Anolis sagrei: one gene and its partners. The protein of the gene in region 2 purifies or fractionates together with the protein of the main gene of each other region. This does not show direct contact. Links are inferred from orthologs where the notes say so. Each region holds a gene or a part of one and is shown on either strand. Other genes may lie near its edges.

What was found.
Region 1: the proteins of ERBB3 (region 2) and PA2G4 purify together in Homo sapiens (affinity purification with western blotting; 4 studies listed by BioGRID and IntAct, with this or other methods). This does not show direct contact. The link is inferred for Anolis sagrei from reciprocal best matches to the Homo sapiens genes ERBB3 and PA2G4.
Region 3: the proteins of ERBB3 (region 2) and GRB2 purify together in Homo sapiens (affinity purification with mass spectrometry; 3 studies listed by BioGRID and IntAct, with this or other methods). This does not show direct contact. The link is inferred for Anolis sagrei from reciprocal best matches to the Homo sapiens genes ERBB3 and GRB2.

Annotation. Positions count from the first base shown.
Region 1 is NC_090022.1:146,811,942-146,819,555, forward strand, and holds the start of PA2G4 (proliferation-associated protein 2G4), read left to right. Parts: upstream 1-4,568; 5' UTR 4,569-4,768; coding exon 4,769-4,856; intron 4,857-7,614. UniProt on the Homo sapiens protein: May play a role in a ERBB3-regulated signal transduction pathway. Seems be involved in growth regulation. Acts a corepressor of the androgen receptor (AR) and is regulated by the ERBB3 ligand neuregulin-1/heregulin (HRG).
Region 2 is NC_090022.1:146,696,630-146,704,364, reverse strand, and holds the start of ERBB3 (receptor tyrosine-protein kinase erbB-3), read right to left. Parts: upstream 3,022-7,735; 5' UTR 2,758-3,021; coding exon 2,673-2,757; intron 1-2,672. UniProt on the Homo sapiens protein: Tyrosine-protein kinase that plays an essential role as cell surface receptor for neuregulins.
Region 3 is NC_090022.1:117,442,592-117,450,640, forward strand, and holds the start of GRB2 (growth factor receptor-bound protein 2), read right to left. Parts: upstream 3,007-8,049; 5' UTR 2,806-3,006; intron 1-2,805. UniProt on the Homo sapiens protein: Non-enzymatic adapter protein that plays a pivotal role in precisely regulated signaling cascades from cell surface receptors to cellular responses, including signaling transduction and gene expression.

The DNA of each region.
Region 1 (7,614 bases), about 120 kb from region 2:
TTAGGGGGCATGTGTGTAGCTGGCCTGTGCACACAGCACTATATCTCCATACTAGAAGTTTCTAAAATTGCTCTTACGTTTTGAGTTGGGGTGCTACAGAGACTCCATGGAGAACTCGCCCAGTTATACAAAACTTGATGCTGATTCTTATAGATATGGCAACATTAGCATGCTTCGGATAGAGAGGGGGGGGTGATCCTGTGGCTCTCCAGATGTTGCTGAACTGCAACTCCCAGCATTCCTCACCTGTTGCTGCTGTAAGCTGTACTAAAATCATATCTGAAGGTCCAGCTTTGTCAAACCTTAAATCAAAGGTGGCATCTACCCTGTTGAAAACATGCAGTTTGATTCAATTGCTATGGCTGAAGACTATGGATTAGTTTTCCCATCAGTGTGGAAATAATACACTGGACTGTGGGAAGTCCTGACCATAAACCTCATCAGGCTGAAAGCCAAAAGTAAGTTCACAACAACTTTTGTTATAGAATTTCACTATGCTGACAATAATGTAGGCTGTGCTCATTCAGAGGAAGACCTACAAACCACCTTAAACATACTTGCAGAAGCATATGAAATTTTGGTCTATCACTGAACATTGAGAAAACCAAAGTGCTCTCTTTGCAGGCACCAACCAATCCTTCTGCAATGCCAGCAATAAAGATTAATGGTGTAAAGCTTTAAAAAATGACAATTTCGGCTTCCATTTGCAGCCACCTCTCCACAAAAGCAGTCATTGATGCCGAAATACAACACCGTCTGAGCTCTGTGAGTGCAGCATTTTATTCAAATTAAGCAGATAATGTTTAAAGATCAGGGCATTAGTAGGGATACCAAGATGCATGTTTATAAAGCTATTGTCCTTCCAACTCTATTGTGTGTCTGCGAGACATGGAGTGACAAATGTCACTCGACTTCTAGAAAGATTCCATCAGTGTTGCCTTCGAAAAATCCTGCAAATCTCTGAAAATTGGGAAGCCCTGACCCTTAAGCACTGTAAGAGGAGGTCAGCTGTTACCAACAGTGCTGTGGATTTTGAAGAGGCACAAATAGAGGGAGAAAGGGAGAAGCCTGCTGAAAGACAGATACATCAAACAAGCCCTTGTTGGGACTTTTCTTCCATCTAGAAATCGATGTTCTCATTGGAAAAGACCATGTAGATTCAGGATAGGTCTCCACAGTCACTTACAGACCCACAGCCAAGACTCTACCTTTAGAAGACAATCATACTTGGCCTTGAGTGACTTTTACAAGGTCTTTAGCCTTCCCTGTCAAAGACTGATACAACTCCTACAATCCCATAGCATCGAGCCATGGTAGTTAAACTGGTGGCAAAGTGCATGAATTCTACTGTAGATACACACTATAGGCAGATAAACAGTGTGGGAGGCAGGTGGATCTTTCACACTATTTCAAGCCACAATCTTTCGTCAGCATTTGCATTCGTGGCTATGAAGCCACTATTCTGGATCAACCTGCAGTGCCAGTTCCTGTGTGAACCTACTCCATGAATCCATCATTAACTTCCAGCAAACTGGTCTGTTGGGGAAAAAATCAGATCAGAATGAATTTAGGCACCTTCTACACAGCCATTATCAAAGCAGATAATCCACATTATCTGTTTTGGATTATCTGCGTCTACACTGCCATATAATCCAGTGCAAAGCAGATTTTATATGGCAGTGTAGAAGGGACCATAGTCTCAATGCTGCATCCACACTGTAGAATTAATAGTTTGACAAGTCTTTAACTGCAATGGCTTGATTATATGGAATCATGGGAGTTATAGTTTCACAAGCTCTTCAGCCTTCTCTGGTGCATTATCAAACAACAACATCTATGGTTAGCACTGACTCATAGCAGTTCATGTTGGGTCACAGTGCCTTACTTTTACAGTGTAGATGTATTAAAAGAGATGGAATTGTGGGAGTTGTAGTTTTACAGGAACTTTAATAATCTCTGCCCCAGAGTGCTGGTCCCTCACCAAATTACAACTCCCAGGAATCCACTGCATTGAGCCACAAGTCGCTTCTGACATGATTAAAAAAAGTGAATTGAGCCACGGCCATGGAAGTGGTATCAAACTGCATTAATTCAACAATATAGATGCACTCTCTCTTGCCGACACACACAAAGGCTCTGTAAAAGGACAACTCCCAGGATTCCACAGCATTGAGCCTGACAGTCAAACTCCATGAACTCTACAGCGCAAGGTGTACTCAAAAGAGAAGAGCCTTAAAGGCACAGCTTAATAATAATTATTATTATTATGCTGCGTCTTTGAGGTTCTGCTCTTTTGAGTATACCTTGCACTGTACAGTTTATTATTATTTGATTCAATTCCATCATTGGTTGAGTTCAGAATGCTCTTTGATTGTAGGTGAACTATAAATCCCAGCAACTACAACTCCCAAATGACAAAATCAATTTTTTTGAGTGAAGGACATAGATTGGGTTGTTAGGTGTCTTGGGTCCAAATTTGGTGTCAATTCATCCAGTGGTTTTTGAGTTCTGTTAACCCTACAAACCAACATTACATTTTTATTTATATAGACGACATTTATATGCCACCCTTCTCACCCCGAAGGGCGTTACAGTTCTGACTGTTGCTACGTGGTCCTTATACAGATTCCTCAGGAGAGAGGCAAGGGGATTTGGTATGCCCATACCACCACCACCACGGGGAATAACATTGCTTTAACTATGAGTTGAGTCCCACAACCTATGCAGTATGGAAGTTGTTGTTGTTCATTCGTTCAGTCGTTTCCGACTCTTCGTGACCTCATGGACCAGTCCACGCCAGAGCTCCCTATCAGCCGTCACCACCCCCAGCTCCTTCAAGGTCAATCCAGTCACTTAAAGGATACCATCCATCCATCTTGCTCTTGTTTGGCCCCTCTTCCTTTTTCCTTCCATTTTCCTCAGCATAATTGTCTTCTCTAAGCTTTGCTGTCTCCTCATGATGTGGCCAAAGTACGTCATCTTGGCCTCTACTATCCTTCCCTCCAATGAGCAGTCAGGCTTTATTTCCTGAAGTATGGACTGGTTGGATCTTCTCGCAGTCCAAGGCACTCTCAGCACTTTCCTCCAACACTACAGTTCAAAAGCATCTATCTTCCTTTGCTCAGCCTTCCCCAAGGGTTTTATTGGTTTTAACGGGTATAGATGTAATGTATTGTTGTCGATTGTTAAATTGTGTTATTTGTTTTATTGCTGTGGTATGTTACGGGCATCGAATTGTGCCTTGGATGTGTAAGCCGCCCTGAGTCCCCTTCGGGGTGAGAAGGGCAGGGTAAAAGTAAACCAAATAAAGAAAGAAAGAAGTAAGGTCCAGCTCTCACATCCGTGAAAGAAGAAAGCGCAAAAGCCGGGTTGCAGCTAAACATCAAAAAAACCAAGATTATGGCAGCAAGAATGATTGACAACTGGAAAATAGAGGGAGAAACCGTGGAGGCCGTGACAGACTTTGTATTTCTAGGTGCAAAGATTACTGCAGATGCAGACTGTGGCCAGGAAATCAGAAGACGCTTACTTCTTGGGAGGAGAGCAATGTCCAATCTCGATAAAATAGTGAAGAGTAGAGACATCAGACTGGCAACAAAGATCCGCCTAGTCAAAGCCATGGTATTCCCTGTAGTCACCTATGGATGTGAGAGCTGGACCTTAGGGAAGCCTGAGCGAAGGAAGATCGATGCTTTTGAGCTGTGGTGTTGGAGGAAAGTGCTGAGAGTGCCTTGGACTGCGAGAAGATCCAACCAGTCCATCCTCCAGGAAATAAAGCCTGACTGCTCACTGGAGGGAAAGATACTAGAGACAAAGTTGAAGTACTTTGGCCACATCATGAGGAGACAGGAAAGCCTAGAGAAGACAATTATGCTGGGGAAAGTGGAAGGCAAAAGGAAGAGGGGCCGACCAAGGGCAAGATGGATGGATGGCATCCTTGAAGTGACTGGACTGACCTTGAGGGAGCTGGGGGTGGTAACGGCCGACAGGGAGCTCTGGCGTGGGCTGGTCCATGAGGTCACGAAGAGTCGGAAACGACTGAACGAATGAACAACAACTCACATCCGTAGGTTACTATGGGGAACACCGCTGCTTTGACTATGTGGATCTTCATTGCCAGTGTGATGTCTCTACTCTTCACTATTTAAACAAGATTGGACATTGCTCTCCTCCCAAGAAGCGTCTCCTGATTTCCTGGCTGCAGTCTGCGTTGGCTGTAATCTTTGCACCTAGAAATACAAAGTCCGCCACGGCCTCCATGTTTTCTCCCTCTATTTCCCAGTTGTCAATCATTCTTGTTGCCACAATCTTGGTTTTTTGATGTTTAACTGCAAGCCAGCTTTTTCGCTTTCTTCTTTCACCTTGATTAGTATGGATTAGTATTGAGTATGGAAGAAGGGCCCTCAAAGCCAAGTAACTCTGCCTGCAGTTCCACCAGAAGCCTTTAGGTGGCAGGCACGGGGCTTGACAGGAGGCGCTTCCCTTTCGTGGCATTGTAAGGGTTGTGGGTTCTTTTTCTCTTCCCGGCACCCTTTGCGCTGCCGCGGCCCCTGACGGGACCTGTAGTCCCTTGTGAGCTGAAGGCGGCGGGCTGGCTTCCCAGCGTGCCGCGCGCAAAGCCCGCGCGCTGGCTGGCCGCCTGTCTGGTTGTCGCGCGCGCCGTGAGGAGGAGACGAAACAGAGGCAGAGGCGGCGGCGGCGGTGAGGTGGACTCCCTCCGAGCAGGCAGGCAGAGGAGGGAGAGAGAGAGGCGGCTGAGGGTCCGACCATGTCGGGCGAGGAGGAGACGTCCGAGCTGACGATCGCGGAAGACGTGGTGGTGAACAAGTACAAGATGGGGGGAGAGATCGCCAACCGTGAGTGCCTGCCTGCCGGTGGGGGGCGCGGCCTGGGCCCGAGGCTCTGGGATCCTGGGAGTTTGGCCGAGGAGGGGGAGGGGGAGGAGGGCGAAGGGAATGGCGGCAAGGCGGGGAAACAGTCTCTCTCTCCCTCCCTCCAAGAGGAACCCGAGGCGGCCCACGACCCGCCAAGTTGGGCTCCTTTCAACTCCAGGAAGAATGAGATACAGATACACTGTCTGCGTGTGTTTTAAGCCCCCTCACACCATAATCCTCGATGGGTCCTTCCTCGAAAGCCCAGTTGTCCTTGGAGAAGAGAGAAAGAAGGAAGGAAGGAGGAAGGGTTGGACGACTCGGCCGCACATGGCGCGCTCTTCACGTGTTCAACCCTCTCCTTGCTACACTGAAGAAGAAGCCCACTTTGACTCCTGTGGAATCCTGGGAGTTGTAGTTCCACAAGGTCTTTGTGTGTATGTGTAGAGGGGGCGCCTCCAGACTGTCGAATAACTTCAGTTGGCCTCACTTTTTACCTGCCACGGAATCCTGGGAGTTGTAGTTTTGATAAGGCCTTTGTGTCCTAAACCAGTGGTTCTCAACCTATGGGTCTTCAAGTGTTTTAGCTTACAACTCCCAGAAATCCCAGCCAGTTTACCAGATGTTTGCTGAGAGTTGAAGGCCAAAACATCTGGGGACCCACAGGTTGAGAACCTCTGGTGTATGGGGAGTGTGTCCCCACGTGGGCGAAATAATACAGTTTGACCCTCCCTGGCTGAACTCTATGGAATCCTGAGAGTTGTAGTTTTCATAAGAGCTCTGTGTGTGGAAGAGAGAGAGAGCATGCCTCCATACTGTAGAAGTATTGCCCTTTGACCGCCCCACTTTTAACTGCCATGGCTCCTTATTATGGGGTGGCGGGAGTTGTAGTTTTGTTGAGGCACCAGCAGTTTTTGGAAAAGAAAGCTTCAAAACCTTGTAAAACTACAACTCCCGTGATTCCATAGTAGGGAGAGTCCTGTCGAATTGCCTTAGTTCTACAGTGTGTAGAATAGATTCACTCTGTCTTTCCAGAAAGGCATGCTAGTACTCTTGACTTTATTAGCAGTATATTACCAGCCATTTGGGTGTGCTGGGGGTGGATTCCCAGGCCCCTTCCACACAGCTGAATAAAATCCCACCTTATCTGCTTTAAACTTGAATATATGGCAGTGTGGATTCAGATAACCCAGTTCAAAGCAGATATTGTGGGATTTTCTGCCTTCATATTCTGGGTTGTGTGGAAGGGGGCCCCAGTCTCCTCTTCCGCTTCCCTTTCTTTAAAGGAGAGAAGGGGGGTTGCTTTTGGGGAGAAGCTAGTTGAGTGAGCTCCCTCCAGGCGCACATGGTCTGGCCCTTGCCATGTGGAGCTGGCTGGTGCTCTCTCCTTTCACTAGGAGTCCTGGCTCCCTCCCAGGTGGCTCCTTTTGTTGAAAGAAGAACTTCTGCTTGGGATCAGATCACCTCCTTTTTTAAAAAAAAATCCCTATTGTAATCTAGGAAGTTGATGATCAGGCATACAGGGAGCTAGAGCAAGGGAATCCCTCTCTTGTAGCTCATCCAGGACTTTGCTCACTCACTATGTGATAAATATAGAGAGAGCGTTTGCTTGCAGTTCACTTGTAGGCCAAAGCACTCTCAATGGGTGGTAAACACGTGCGCCCGGATTGGGTGATTGCATACCTTCCCCTGCTGGGCTTAGTTTTAAAATGGTGATTTATACTTTTGCTCTCTTCTCTCCCACCACCCACTTAATTTTGTTCTATCAAGGATTATGACTAGTAGCTCTCCTTTAAGAATACTGTTTAAAAATAGGCTAACCCCATGGAGTCCTGCTGATAGATTGAGTGGGGGCGAGAGGTGCTTTGAGTTCTGTCTAAAAGCAGAAAGCAGGATATCAATTAAATAAATAAATAAATATATATATTACACGGTGCTGCCTTGTGTAGCTTCATAAATGAGAGAGCTCAATGCTCTCAACCTTATGCTTAGAATTTAGTTTGAGTAACTTAAACCTCTACATTCACATTTTTTTCTGGTTGAGTTTTAAAACTTTAAGAGAAAATTCTCAAGCTTGGTGAAGTTTCAGAGAGGATATGTTTGTATGATGAAGGAAACATCTCAATTAGATGAATCAGAATTGTCAGGCAGTATTTCATTTTCCTTATACTTCACAGAAACTAAACAGTAGGAGAAGAAGGATGTTTTTATTCTCAGAAGAAGCACCATGTGTGTGTGCATGGGCCTTCATGTTGTCTGTTGATTTCTGGCAACCTCATGAATTTCATAAGGTTTTAAGCAAAACCAATTCAGAGATTGTTTTTTCCCCCAGTTCTTTAATCTGAAATATAGTCTACAGCGCCTGTTAATTCCTTGGTGATCTCCCATCCAAGTACCACATAGGGCTGACCCTGCTTAACTTCCAAGATCAGACATGTTCTGGTGTCTTTAGAGTATTTAGTCTTTGTTTTAGCTTTGTTGTAGGAATAATTAAAAACCTAATAATGGGGTTACAACTAGAGCAGACTCTGAAGTAAGGAATAGAGGTTACTAGCCTGCAAAATAAAAAGATCTTGCTGGGTGAGGAGAGACCAAGGTCTGAATTTCTATGATGGGTTTCTTCCTAGAGTCCTTTTGTTGCTTGCTTATATGAAATTCTAGACACACGAGTGTGCCCTTCTTGATATCTTATGGCTACCAGGCCAGTGCTCTCATTCAAGGCTGAGTTAAAGAGATCTATGTC
Region 2 (7,735 bases):
TCTACATTATTTGCTTTGAACCAGATTATCTGAGTCTACACTGCCATATAATCCAGTTCAAAGCAGATAATCTGGATTTTATATGTCAGTGTAGAAGGGGCCCAAGGACCCTTCCACACAGCTGTGGAAAATCCAATTTGTTCTGGAATATATGGAAGTGTGGACTCGGGGCCCTACCATACAGCCATGTAACCCAGAATATCAAGGCAGGAAATCCCACAATATCTGAGTGTAGACTCAGGGCCCTTCCACGCAGCCCTAAAACCCAGAATATAACAGCAGAAAACCCCACATTATCTGAGTGTAGACTCAAATAACTCAGTTCAAAACAGATATTGTGGGATTTTCTGCCCTGATATCCTTTGGCACCAAAACATAGGGCTGTGTGGAAGGGCCCTGAGTCCACATTGCCACAAATCCCAGTACAAAGCAGATAATGTGGGGTTTTATTCAGCTGTGTGAAAGGGGCCTCAGATAACCCAGTTCAAAGCAGGTATTGTGGGATTTTCTGCCTTGATATCCTGGGATAGAGTGCTGCATGGAAGGGCCCTGAGTCTACATTGCCATAAATCCCAGTACAAAGCAGATAAGGTGGGGTTTTATTCAGCTGTGTGGAAGGGCTTCAGATAACCCAGTTCAAAGCAGATGGCTGTGTGGAAGGGCCCTGAGGATCCTTCCACATAGTCCTATAGCCCTGAACATCAAGGCAGAAAATCCCGCAATATCTACTTTGAACTGGTCATCTGAGGCCCCTTCCACACAGCTGAATAAAATCCCACATTTTCTGCTTTGAACTGGAATATATGGCAGTGTGGACTCAGACAACTCAGTTCAAGGCAGATATTGTGCTATTTTTTGCCTTGATATCCTGGGATATAGGGCTGTGTGGAAGGGCCCTGAGTCCACACTCAGATAATGTGGGATGTTCTGCCTTGACATTCTGGGTTGCATGACTGTGAGGAAGGGCCCTGAGTGCCTGGTTGGGAAGAGACCCCGGGGATTCTGGGCTTTGTCTTTTCAAGGGACAGAGCAGCAAGTCCCAACAGATGCGCCTCCCGGGTCAGGGGTGGGATGGAGGGGTTCCAGCCTTGGCCCTCCTCTATCACAGCCTCAACAGGTGCCCTTTGAGAACTGAACCAAAAGCCTTCCGAAAGACAGGCAGGCAGGCAGGCAGGCAGACTCCACAGGCAGGCAGACTCCACCCGCAGGCAGAGAGCTGCAAAGCTGGCGGAACAAGATCTCATGGATTCCTAAAAGTTTGCCTTGGAAGTTTCTGCTGCGGGTTTTGGGGGGGGGGGGGGTGCGAGAAAACATGCTCGCAGTCACACATGCCACGCCTTCTAATTTATTTATTTCCAGTATTTCTATCCCATTCCTTCTCAACCCCCAAAGGGGAACTCGGGACAGCTTACATTTGGCAGCAATTTGATACCACTACATATAGCACAGCAATATAATCACAATTCAAACAATAAGTAAAACATTCATTAAAACAGCATAAAAAAGTATGAACAGCCATAACATAATTCCAGCCAATTCCATATCCAAAGTGCCATGACTTCAATTTCTTCCTAAATGACAGGAGGGATGGAGCTGATCTTACCTCAGTGGGAAGCAAGTTACACAGGCAGGGGGCCACAGTGAGAAGGCCCTGTCCCTCATCCTCGCCAGACATATTTGTGATGCTGGCAGGAGCGAGAGCAGGGCCTTCCTGGATGATCTTACCTCAGTGGGAAGCGAGTTCTATGGGCAGGGGGCCACAGCCAAGAAGGCCCTGTCTCTCGTCCCTGCCAGACATATTTGTGACGATGGCAGGAACGAGAGCAGGAGCCCCCGGGATGATCTTACCTCAGTGGGAAGCGAGTTCCACAGGCGGGGGGCCACAGCCAAGAAGGCCCTGTCTCTCGTCCCTGCCAGACATATTTGTGACGATGGCAGGAATGAGAGCAGGAGCCCCCGGGATGATTTTACCTCAGTGGGAAGCAAGTTCCACAGGCGGGGGGCCACAGCCGAGAAGGCCCTGTCTCTCGTCCCCGCCTGACGTATTTGCGACACTGGTGGGAGCGAGAGCAGGGCCTCTCCGGATGATCTTAAATTGCGAGGCAGGACGTAGAGGGAGATGTGTTCAGACAAGTAAGCTGGGTCAAGTAGGTCAAAACCAGCAGAGGATGCTTGCCATAGATGCAGGCGAAACGTCAGGAGAGAATGCCTCTAGAACATGGCCATATAGCCCGAAAAAAACCTACAACAACCCAGTGATTCCGGCCATGAAAGCCTTCGACAATACTTTGAATTGAGCTGGGAAGTGGACCGCCAGCCAGTGGAGCTGACACAACAAGGGGGTGGTCTGCTCCCTTCTAACCCTCGGAGGGCATCTGCCCCAATGCTGAATGAACGCACTTAAGGCTCCAATTAAACTCCCCTTAGTGTTAATTCGACCATACAGATGGACAATCGAGTCCAAAGCCGTCACGTTTGAGCGAAACCTAGGATCAACCGAAAGTAGAGAGAGAGATAGACACAGAGAGAGACTCAAACACCTGGTCTCGGATTTCCAGGAAGAGCAAGACCAAAACCAAAACCAGTCCTGCCCTGATCAACGCGCCCGCGGTGAAAATAGATCTTAAATGAACATCCATACACTTGTTGTTGTTGTTGTTGTGTGGTCTTACCTGCTTGAGAGGCGGCGGGCAGCAGGAACCCCGCGAGAGAAAGCAGCCCCAGGAGGAGACCTGGCCCCGGGAGGCTCTGCCTCATGGCTGAACGGGGATTGGGACTCTTTCAGGTGCTGCCTCCGCTTTCCTTCCGCATAGGCGGCTCTTTCCTCCTCTTTCGGGATGAACAAGAGTCCGGAGCCACTTGATCCCCGAGGAAAAGGTCTCAGTCGGCCATCGCCGCCTCCTCCTCCCTCTCTTCTTCTTCTGTTTCTTTTTCTTTGGGGCCGGATCTCTTTCTGGCCCCCAGATCCCGCTCAGCGCACAGACTTTGATCCGCTCCCCTTTACGCACCACAACTCACTAATTGCACACACTTCATTCAAGGGGAAGCCGAGCTCGCGCCTCATTGGCTGGGACTGCGCCGCGCTCTGACCAATCAGAGGGAAGCCAGAGGGAGCTCCAGAATCCAGGAATGGAAAGAGAGTGTGTGTCATAGAAAAAACCTACAACAATCCAGTGTCATAGAATCTATCTATCTATCATCTATCTGTCTGTCTGTCTGTCTGTCTGTCTGTCTGTCTGTCTGTCTGTCTGTCTGTCTGTCTATCTATCTATCTATCTATCTATCTATCTACCTACCTACCTATCTAAAATGTAATGTTCGTTTGTGGGATTAACATAACTCAAAAACCACTGGACGAATTGCCGCCAAATTTGGACACAAGACACCTACTAACCCAAATAGTGACCATCACTCAAAATAATTGATTTTGTCATTAAGGAGTTGTAGTTGCTGGGATTTATAGTTCACCTACAATCAGAGCATTCTGAACTCCACCAATGATGAAACTGAACCAAACTTGGCACACAGAACTCCCACGACCAACAGAAAAAATTGGGAGGGTTTGGTGGGCACTGACTTTGAGTTTGGGAGTTGTAGTTCACCTACATCCAGAGAGCACTCTGGACTCAAACAATGCTGGATCTGGACCAAACTTGACATGAACATTCCATATGCCCAAATGTGAACACTGGTGGAGTTTGGAGGAAATAGACCTTGACATTTGGGAGTTGTAGTTACTGGGATTTATAGTTCACCTACAATCAAATAACATTCTGACTCCCACCAACGACAGAATTGGGCCAAACCTCCTACACAGAACCCCCATGATCAACAGAAAATACTTAAGGCCATCCAGTCCCTTCACCAAGGCAAGAAAACGTAATGAAATCCCTCCTGAGAAAGAGCCATCCAGCCATAGATATAGATAGATATATATGATTCACACACACATATAGTCTCGTAGATTTGAAAGGGACCCCTAAAGAAGGACAATGATATGTTGCATTTTCTAGAGGAGGCAAACCAGGCCATCTCCACATCAACACTGACAAAGAAACAGCAAGAAATAAAGAAATACTGTCTACCCACAAGCACAAAAATATTACAAGTATTTCTCTTTACTTTTCCAGATCACCAGACTGGGCCACAGCAATGTGTGGCAGGAGACTGCTAGTCATAGAATATCAGAGTTGGAAGAGACCTCGTGGGCCATCCAGTCCAACCCCATTGTATCACAAAATCACAAGTCGAAGCGTCTAGGGCTGTGTGATGTATTTTCAAAGATGTGTGCAGATCCAAGTAAGGTAGCCTTTTGCAGTTGACAAATCGTGATTTTGTCGATGATGATGATGACGACGACGACGATGATGATGATGATGATGATGATTATTATTATTATTATTATTATTATGCTTTTATTGTGTGTTTCTGCATGGCACCCGGTTGGACTGGATGGCCCCTGTGATCTTTTGCATTATTATTATTATTATTATTATTATTATTATTTGTATCTTGCTGTTCTTCCAGGACTTAAACTCAGAATAGCTCTCAGCCTTAGAAACTACACAGTTTGAAAACCTACAAAATACAAATATTAAAATAGAATTAAATATTGTAATTATTAAAACAATAAACCTGTTAAAATGATTCCAGAGGTTGTGAGGTCTGTTGAAAACTAGAGAAGTGGGGTTTAGTTTCCAATCACACCTCTGAGGATGCCTGCCATAGATGTGAGAGAAACATCAGGAGAGAGTGCTTCTGGAACATGGCCATACAGCCCAGAAAACTCACAGCAACCCAGTGATTCCGGCCATGAAAGCCTTCCAACAAACCATTATGACACAAATGTTTATATATAAAATAATCTACCCAACAATCTGACCTTCTGGCCACTTTATGGGTTTCCCTAAAACGCTGTTATGATGACAGCCTGAATTTTGGCATTTACCATTATACTGGCATGAAAACAGCAGGAGTCTGTCAACACCTCAAACTACATTTAGAGCAGATGAGGCTAAACTACACTTCCCAGGACTCTATCACTCTTAGTTTAAAAACAAGAGAAGACTCTCGTACCTTTAATGATTGTACAGATGAGCGAATTTCATGCAGAGGCAACATCTGTTGAAACTCCCTCCATCTCCATTTCTAAGCTGAAGAGCCGGCCTTGTCCGTAGACACCTCCAAGGTCATGTGGCCAGCACATTTACATGTTTTCAAACTGCTAGGTTGACAGGAGCTGGGGCTTACAGTGGGAGTTCACATCGCTCCCTGGATTCAAACCTGCAACCTTTTGATCAGCAAGTTCAGCAGCTCAGCAGCTTAAACCACTGTGCCACCGGGGGCTCCAACCATAGTCTGTGAGTATATACCAGAGTAGGCAAGGAAGCAGGAGGATAACAATCAAGGCTGAACCATGAAGTGTGAACCACAAAGCCACAACTATTTGGGGGAAAGGAAGTTCTCTACGCTTCATTGAGGTTAATGTGGAGAGTTTGGACATTTGTTAGCAGTGCTTGATTTTTTTTTCAAAGGGTGAATGATGTCTGTATCGGAGCAGAAAGATGTCTAACTTCTCTGTTGCTCTCAAGCTGAAACTCAATACATATTTATTTAGAAGCAAGTCCCACTATGTTCACTTGAGTAGACATGGATAGGATTCCACTGGCTAAAGCCTAAAAGAGCTTCTTGCCACAGCTGTTCGTACCAAAGTGCAGAACATGTTTTGAAAATTAAACAGAGCTATGTTTCTAATTGTTTGCATCAAACTGAAATATGTGAAAGCAGTGCACCAGCAACAGGGATACAGTTAACGTTAATTTACAAGTAAATTACGAATGCAGAGCAATAAGAAACATTCATGAATTATTTCCTAACCCTAACACTACTGAAATGTTTGTTTTCCTACAACTCCTCAAAGGGAAATAAATTGTAGTACATAAGCAGAGGGGAAACTGAATGCTGTCCAAGGCAATGGAATACTTCAACACTTTATTTATATTCTTCTTTATGTCTTCGGAGGGACTCAGAGCAGACTACTGTATACACATATAAGGCAAACATTCAATGCCTTTTACCCAGTGAACAACAACGACATACAATACACAGACACAGGTAAAAGTTTTTCCTTTTCATTTCCAGCGTCTGGAAGCGATGCTCAACTCCAACCATGGGGAGGTGCTCTTGTTCCATTTTTCCATGCCAAGGAGCCTGTTGTCCGTAGACATCTCTAATTGTGTTTTGCCGGCGCCCTTTTACCTTCCCACATGCTTTTGAACTGTTAGGTTGGCAGAAGCTAGGGCTGACAGCAGGAGCTCACCCCGACTTGCGGCTTCAAACTGCCAACTCTCCAGTCAGCAGATTTCTTGCAGCTAGCTGTTTAACCCGCTGCGCTACTGTGGCCCCATAGTATTAGCTGAGTACTATGGGTGCATCTATACTGTAGAATAATTCAACTGTACATCACTTTAGTTCAATGCTATGGAATCTTGGGATTTGTAGCTTGATGAGTATCAAGTGTCCTGAAATGTGTTCAGTCCCAGAATTTTGGAGTCACTAAAGCAGGCATGGGCAAACTTGGGCCGTCCAGGTGTTTTGGACTTCAACTCCTACAATTCCTAACAGCCGGTAGGGAGTTGAAGTCCAAAACACCTGGACGGCCCAAGTTCGCCCATGCCTGCCCTAAGACCTTTATTCTCTTTTAAAAACAACCTTCAAGTTGAGACCCATTCCTCATTGTGGCCACCTTGAAGTCCTGCCTAGGCACTGATCCGGAGATCAAAAACTCAACCCACTGTTGTCCACCCTGTTTCTTAAAACCTTGCTGCGTTTTAACCCCTGCTTTCTCTCCACTCCACCCAGAGAGTGAGTCACACACAGGAAACGGGTGACACAAAAGAGGAAAAGGTTACCTTGACCTAATTAGGACCTTGGGCTCTCCTTCAGCCCAGAATTCAGTCTAAACAAGCCTCACAGAAGATGCCAGGCAGGCAAGGAAGGTGTCAGTGGCCCTCCAGATGCTATTAAGATGCAACGCCTATCATCCACCACCATCTGCGATGCTGATCTGGTCCAACATCCAAAGGGCCACAAATTGCCACTGGTTTAAGAGGCATCATTATTTTATAAGACATTTAAGTGTTCACGTTTTTTGAATAGTCTTGTACTCATAAGCTTTGGGGTTCCTCCCTTTTGCTTCGCCCAGTCTTTCCCAAATAGTTTCCAGTCTATTTTCCTGTTCTACCTTCTTGTAATTCTTCCTTCCCAACTACCTTATGTTTTTGTTCTAATATAGTACACAGAGCTAGGACACAAGGAAACATTCTCTCCCTGTTAAAATATTATAATAACCACCCTTGCCAATTGGAATGTAGCTCCTTAGGATGGGATTGGGAATGAGACAGGAAAGGCACCTGTGGCCACCCTCTGGCGCCCCCCTGTGGTTATAAACTGGAATTACCATCCTAAAGTCAACATCCTAAAAATAGTCAAAATTACTGCAACATACTGGCAACAAAGATCCGCATAGTCAAAGCCATGGTATTCCCTGTAGTAACCTACGGATGTGAGAACTGGACCTTAGAGAAGGCTGAGCAAAGGAATATAGATGCTTTTGAGGAAAGTTCTGAGAGTGCCTTGGACTGCGAGAAGATCCAACCAGTCCATACTTCAGAAAATAAAGCCCGGCTGCTCATTGGAGGGAAGGATACTAGAGACAAAGTTGAAGTACTTTGGC
Region 3 (8,049 bases), about 29 Mb from region 2:
TGTGTTTTAAAAATTATATGTAGTCCTTTGTAACAATGGGTTATCGATCTACGGAGTAATCGGCCCTTTGAAGGCAACCACAGGGCTGAAATGGCCCCTAATGAACATCAGTTTGACACTCCTGATTTATGACAAGTCACACTCTCTCAGGTTCAGATGAATACAAAGACAACCCCACTCTAAACAAACCTTTCCAAGGAAACCCTGCAATAGGTTCACTACAAGACTTGAAGGCTTATCAGAAAAGCATTATTATAATGTGGAGTAGGAGCTCTAGAGAAGAGTAGGAGCTCCTTCCTTAGAAACTAGACACATCCCTTTCCCAAATAAAATAAAAAACTGAAATGAGTTAAACTAAAGTATACATGAGTTAAACTACTATTGTAAAACATTACACTAAATGACCCACTGCAGAGTTATCAAAATATATGCAGGGGTTGCCAATGGTCAAATTACATACATAAACTTATTTTGAGGAGGCCTTATTATCTTGCAGGAACTAAGCATTGGGGATTTGCATTACATTGTAGGGATAACATTACATAGCCGACTTGCTATGTTTGCCAGAAAAAGTATCTACCAGTTTATCACAAGAAATTAGCCTGAAGCAAAAACAAAACAAAAAACCAAAACAAACAAACAAACAAAACTAAACAAAAAAAACAGAACATCTTGAGGAGGTAGAGGTTTCTTAACTAAGGATACATTTCTTTTCAGTGATATCTCATGGAAGTCATAGCCCAGGGGTAAGAATAAATTAATTTGGGTGTCCTGTAGTATGTTTTTAGGGTATAAAGCCTTGGGGTTTTTCCCCAAATGGGAAACATTTCTTCTATATTTTGAATTGACACCAGGCATCTTTTAACAGCACACAATTTTAAGAAGCAATGGGTGCAGCTAAACTATAGAATGAATGCAGGTTGACATCACTAGGCTCAGCAGGACTCAATATTGGGAAATCATGAGAGTTACAGTTTCGACTTATCTGTCAAAGCGTGCTAGTGCCTCAACTACAAATCATAGCACAGACCCAGGGAACTGCATTGATTCTACAGTATAGATGTACTCAATGTCATTTTAATATGCACAATTAAAGCAAAACTTGGAACCATTACTTTGGCCTACAACTCCTGGAAACTCTTAGCCACAGGCTAAGTTGGCTAGAGGGCTCTGGCAGTTTTATGTCTTTTCTTGGATCATTTTTAAGATATTGGAAGCAAATTGGGATTGTATAAAACTTTTGGTAAGTTTCAGGCATTCACAGAAAAAGATTCTCTAAATATCCCCCTTCAATGCAACAGCTATTTTTACCTTTGCTCTGAAACCATTCTGTGAATCCTAGGAGATTCCTGCATTCCCAAAGTTTTGATACAAACACATTACTGAAGTCTCTATTTTCTGAGGAGGTACAGATTCTGTCTGATCTTGAAAGCTAATCTGGGTCAGCTCTAGTTAATACTCAAGTGGCAAACTGACAGGGACCACCAGATGCAGTATGCTATATTTCAAAGGAAGGAACTGCCAAAACTCCTTCCCAGTCTTTTTTGCCAAGGCGACATCTATGAAGAGACACACAAGCCTACTCCCACCACCCGAATAGGTGAATGTGAATGACAATTCAAAATGTTGCTTCTAATTTTTGCCTTCCTCATACATGTCCCACCACTTTTTACAGAAAACTGCTGACCGCAACTTCTGCTTTAACACTAAGCATGTGTTATAAGAGAATTTCATTTCAGTATCATAATGCAACATGGAAACTATGAGATCAGAACAACCACCCTAAAGGTTCTGTTCTTAACTGCCGCCAAATTGACTTTGACTTAGAGGTTTGTCATTTATGGTCCCTTCCACAAAGCTTAATAAAATCCCACATTACCTGCTTTGAATTGGGATATTTGGCAATGTGGACTCAGATAACCCAGTTCAAAGCAGATATTGTGGGATTTTCTGCCTTGGCATTCTGGATTATATGGCTGTGTGGAAAGGTTCTTAGAGGTTTGTCACTTATGGGATGCCCTGTGTCACTCTTTCAGCAAGAACAGTGCTAAGGTTTTGCAGACCCTGGATAGCCATGGCTTCCTTGGCTGGATCTTGACTGAAGAATTAATGCACCTTGATAACACTTTAACTGTCATGGTTCAATTCTATGGAATCCTGGGATTTGTAGTTTGGCAAATCACCAGCACTCTTTGGCAGAGAAGGCTAAAGGCCTTGCATGTGCCTTTATGTGCACCACTCCGAGTCCCCTTCAGGGTTGAGAAGGGCTGGATATAAATATGGTAAATAATAAATTGTAAAATGACAACTCCCAGGATTCCTTGGCATTGAGCCACAGCTGTTAAAGTGCTATCAAGCTGTATTAACTTTACAGCTGAGTTGGAGTCCAAAATATCTGGAGGGCCGAAGTTTGCCCATGTCCGGTGTAAACTCATATAATGCAGTTTGGAACTGCATGATATAGTAGTGTACATTGAGCCTAAGTTAATAATTACTAGGCCAACTCTGGAAAGATTCTCCGCCACTCAAGGCATTTATCTCGCAGTGTCCATTTCTCAAGGAGCAGCAGAGTCATTCGCACGACGAGGAGATCAGAGAGCGCGAGCACCACCCGACTCCCCTCGATTTCCCGCGCCGCGCGCGCTCACACACTGAAAGGCAGCTGAGGCGAGCGCGCGCGCATAGGCGAACCCCAGCCTCCTTCCCGTTCCCTTCCTTCCCCTCCCCCGACAACCGCTCTGCGCGTCCGCCGCCAAGGGAAAAGCCCCCAGGGCGGACCCCCGGCCGAGGCCAAGCACCCCTTACCGTAAGTCAGCTGGGGTTCCGCTCCAAGCGGCCCCCTCCGCCCGTCCCTCTCTCCTTCCTTCCTCCCTTCCTTCCTTTCCTCTCCGCGGCCCCGCCTCAGCGGCTTCTTCGCCCTCAGCAGGGGAGCGCCGCAGAACAACTTCCGCCACCGTACTCTCGCGAGGCCACCATGGGGTGCGAGGAGAAGGGCGGGGGAAAAAAGGATGCTGAAGAGCGCATGCGCACTCTAAGGGCTGTCACCAGAGGGGGTGGGTGGATTTGAAGTCTGTGGTGGCAGCAGGCGCATGTGCAAGAAGATAAACTCCTGAAAAGTCTTTCTGGATCCATTTAAAGAAAAATGCCATAAACTATATTCCCTCCAATATATTTCTCAGGAAATAAAACCCGACTGCTCATTGGAGGGAAGGATATTAGAGGCAAAGATGAAGTACCTTGGCCACATAATGAGAAGAAAGGAAAGCTTAGAGAAGACAATGATGCTGGGGGAAATGGAAGGAAAAAGGAAGAGGGGCCGACCAAGGGCAAGATGGATGGATGGTGTCCTTGCAGTGACTGGATTGACTCTGAAGGAGCTGGGGTGGCCACGGCCAACAGGGAGCTCTGGCATGGGCTGGTCCATGAGGTCAAGAAGAGTAGGAAGTGACTGAACAAATAAACAACAAAAACATTCTCACTACCTCAGAGGATGCTTGCCAAAGTGTAGGCGAATCGTCAGGAGAGAATGCCTCTAGACCATGGCAATACAGCCTGAAAAAACCTACAACAATTCCAGCCATGAAAGCCTTCGACAATACAACAACAACATTTTTCTCATCATTGGCGAATAGGACCTTCTGGCTTAGTAACATCTGGGTGTAGTGACGATGGCAGGAGTTATTCATGGTTGTGGCATCTACAGTGTAGGATGAATGCAGTTTGACATCACTTTGGCCACTTTTTGGCGCAATGCTATGAAATCACAGGAGGTGTCATTTTGCAAGGTCTAAATAGTGCTAATGCCTCGCCAAATATAACTGACATTATTCCACAGTATTCCCCTTCTGAAGCCTAACCTTGCCAAGACACAAGTGTGTGCTTGCCATCAATATAATTGTGAAGCCAACAGGAAACTGAAGGTTACCTGGGAAGGCCAAGAACTGTGTGAAAGGGCCCTCAGACTTAACGCTAACCTTTAGGAAACACTGTGTGAACACCAAGCACAAAGTAGCTGCACACAATGACATCCTGCGGAAACTTGCTAATAGTGCATCAGGTGCAGAGCCAAAATTAATAAGAACCTGGCCTTGTCTTACTCAACAGCTGAGTATGCCTGCTCCATCAGGCATAAATCTGTTTAATTCTGTTTTATTGTTCACATATTTGTGAATTTTAAATTATGTGGTCATGCTTTTAATTGTAAGCTGCTTTGAGTCTCCTTCAGGAGAGATAAAGCAGGGTATAATTAACCTAAACAACAACAATCTGAGATAAATCTACCCCATGAAGGGAAATTCAGTCTTGGAAGAGTTATCTTGGGGAAAAGGTGTCTCCACTGAAGATTTATCACCAAACCTTGCTTCCATAACAAGCTAATTTTTTCAAAATCCAATTATCACTGAGACAGAAAGTGAGGTCAAATCCTCTGAAGAGGGGTACAGTCCATAAAACAAACATCATAGGAGTGTTAGTCCTTCCCTGTGCTATCCAAAGCTAATATATATTTGGCTGGAGTTACACTTTTAAAATGTACCTGTTTCTACTTACATACAAATTCAATTTAAGGACAATCAGAAGAACCTGTCTTATTTGTAACTTGAAGACTGTGTAATAAAATTTCATTATTTTAAAAACATTTTTGAATGACAAAACTAAAGAAAAAGGGGCAACATAAAACTAGCAAGATATTTAATTCTGTTGTCATCTACAAAAGTTCACATTCAATCAAATTATATTTTAAAAAATCACCAAAAAATCCACAATGTTTTAAGTAAGTTTACAAATTTGTTTTGTTGGGCCGCATTCATAGTCCTCTTGAGTTGCATTGGCCCACAGGTCGCAGGTTGGACATGCCTGCTCTGTAACATGAACAGTCTTCAATAGCCCTGTTTCAATCATGTTCTTGTCTATTACACTGGGCCAAAACGTCCAGTTTTAAAAGCTGAACCAAATAACTTCTGCTCTTCTTTATGTGTCAATACATCAGTGGAAATGCCTTGTAATAGAAGTCAAAGGCGTGATAAAATTGCAATCAATAAGGTGCCTTTATTATAGAATAAAGAACACATTGGAACTCCCTTCCAAATAAACATAGCGAGGATTAAAGTGGAAGACTATTTAAAACTGGTAAGCATGTCAACAATGCCTGGCAACTCTTACTCATAACACTTAGTCATGAGTAATTATATTCCTTTCCATAAGATTATTTAGCAGTCATGGAAACACAAAGGTTGGCAGCAAGGGTTTAATTTCCCTTAAACATCAGGAAGAACTTCTTCACAGTCAGTGCTGCTCAACAGCATATTCCACTATTGAGCAGCACTATGCTGCTGCCTCGGAGCATGCTGGAGTCCCCCCTCTGGCAGTTTTTAAGCAGAGGCTGGATGGCCATCTGTTGGGGGCGCTTTCAAATCTGTGTTCCTGCATGGCAGAAGGGGGTTGGGCTGAATGGATTTTATATGGCAACGTAGAAGGGGCCTAGGTATCACAACTCATCCACTTCTTCAGCAGGTAAAAATCCAGAGGGGTTTGTGTAAAAAGATTGGTTTGTGTAACCTTTTCTTGGCAAAAGGGGTTTTATCTTTGACTTTCTCTGAGGCTGCGAGAATGTGACTCACCCAAGGCCACCCAGTATGTTTCCATAGTTGAGTGGGGATTCAAACCTATGTCTTCAGAGTCATAATCAACTGATCAAGCCGCTACACAACATAGTATTGGGGAACAGAAATGGTCATGTACAATATTTGGTTGATTTTTTCACCTATGTGAAGTTGGGCTTTAAACTGTGCTGGTTGACTGTACTGCAGGGGTTCAGTTGCAGAAAAAGAATGGTTATAAATTGGAGCTGGTAGTTCAGCTATATGATATTCCACAACAGTGAAGAAGTTAAAAGGAAAAGAGAAATATATAGTCCCAGCAGTCCCGGTGGAAAGAAAGAGCCAGGGGTGTTTTGTTAATTAATGAAATGTTTGATTATATATATCTTTATAAATTAGTGCTTCTTAGTCCATATCTTTCTGCTCCGTTCTTGACAAAGCATTAAAAAATCCAAGTGAGTGTGAGTCTACGTCTCATATATGAATTGGTTACAGCTTTTTAAGGGCCAAGGAATAGCTTTAATGTATTACAGATTTTTCAATTCATATTAATGCTAGGCTGCATTCCTGCCTGTCCAGTTCATGTTATTTATTTCACAATCAATACAATTATCAGCCAATTTCAGGGGAGGGAAAACTATAGGCAAAATAAAATAATTTGTAAAAAGTGTATAATGTTTAGATGTTGAGAAGTTTGGAAATCCAGAAATCTAAAATCCACATTAACTACCAAAACCAGAATATTAGAGTTGTGGCTTTCTTTCTTTCTTTCCTTCCTTTAAATTCCAATCAGCATAACTATTGTTGCCGGAGATAAGAGAAGATGAGAGGTACTGTTCAACTATTTATAGAGAGACGCAAGTTGACGACACTTGTACTATTAACTGAAAGTGCTGTGAGTGCACAAAAGGTAGGGACAGAAAATTCACATGGCTCAGCTATAAGTCTCTCTTTTAAGTTAAAGTGCAAAATCAGAGCTTAGAAGTAATAGGTTGTTGTAATTACCTTTTTGGCTAACAAGCTATAACAATGTTGCACTTCCAAAGCAATACAATCGGTAGGAAATTACTTTAATTTATTGGTGCAGTCCATATATTTTGTCATTATTTCATTAATTCAAAGAGTTTTTTAAAACAAGTAAAAAAAAAGCTATTGGAAAGTAACATACATATTGGAATTAATAACTGGATTACATTTTCAAAACTGAAAGTGAGCTAGTGTGAACTACCTTTCTGGAGACCAAGGTTTGAATACCCCCTGGGCTATGGAAATCCACTGGGTTACATTGGGCAAGTCACTTTCTCTGTTTTCAGAGGAAGGTAAAGGCAAACCCCTTGTGAACAAATAATGCCAAGAAACCCACATGAGAGGGTCTCCTTGTCTAAGGTCATTCAGTGAGCTTCCATGGCCAAATAGGAACTTGAACCCTGGTCTCCATATATGTAACACAACCAATACTTTCAATATAACTATACCAGGGAGGGGCCTTTAAAATTCTCAGCCAGAAAGGTCCTGGGTCTCACTACACTACAAAACCCAACATTCCGCAAGAGGATTTAAAGTGGGATGCACACTCTATTTCCACCCTTTAAAGGATAGTGTGGCAAGAGAAGTTAAGACTGACCTTAATTGTTAAGACTGGGGGCAGTCTGTCTGGGAGAACCCTCTGTATTTATCTCCCATCAACCATGAAGTAGACACCAAATGTTTATGGGAATCAGACCTGTTTAATGATGCGGTCATGATTCCACCGCATGCTGAAAATCGGGCAAGGCAAAAGAAGGCAAAATAGCAACTTAAAATATTTTGCATGTAACAGGACATCTACCCATGCTCGTTGCATTTCTAAATGGTGTTTCACAAACATTACCCATAGCAAAGGTAAATTTTAATGCGATTGTACTTAGTATTTTACAGTCAGATAATAAAGCAGAAGTTTTTTCTCCTAGATTGCATTTAGCATGCAGAAATACATATACACAGGATGAGTAGAGCCCAAAACTTATTATAGTGTCATCTGCTACAGAAAATTGTTCCAAAATCTCTGATTTTGCACTTCGTGATTCATATTTTTCTTAATGCAAACTTATACTTCATTCAAGCTTTTGTACAATACTGGTCTGTTGCTTTTCATGGCCACTGCCTCGTTCATCAGCTTGCATCTGGGGAGTCTGTATTTTAATTGCATTGTTGTACTGGGGAATTTTCCATCATTTAACTTGTACATCATTTCACCTTAGACACATTTATGTCTTTCTAATTACAAAGCAAGCTATCCTGTCTAGGGTTCAAGTGTTAACTTGTCAGAGCCTGTATAGGTGTTAGAAATGAAAGATTTAGTAGAAAGAACAACCATTCAAAATTGCTGAAGGACAGAGCATAATAAATGCTTAAAGATTCATACTGGGATACTGAAGCAATAAGCAAAGGCAACCAGAGTGCTGACTTTGAT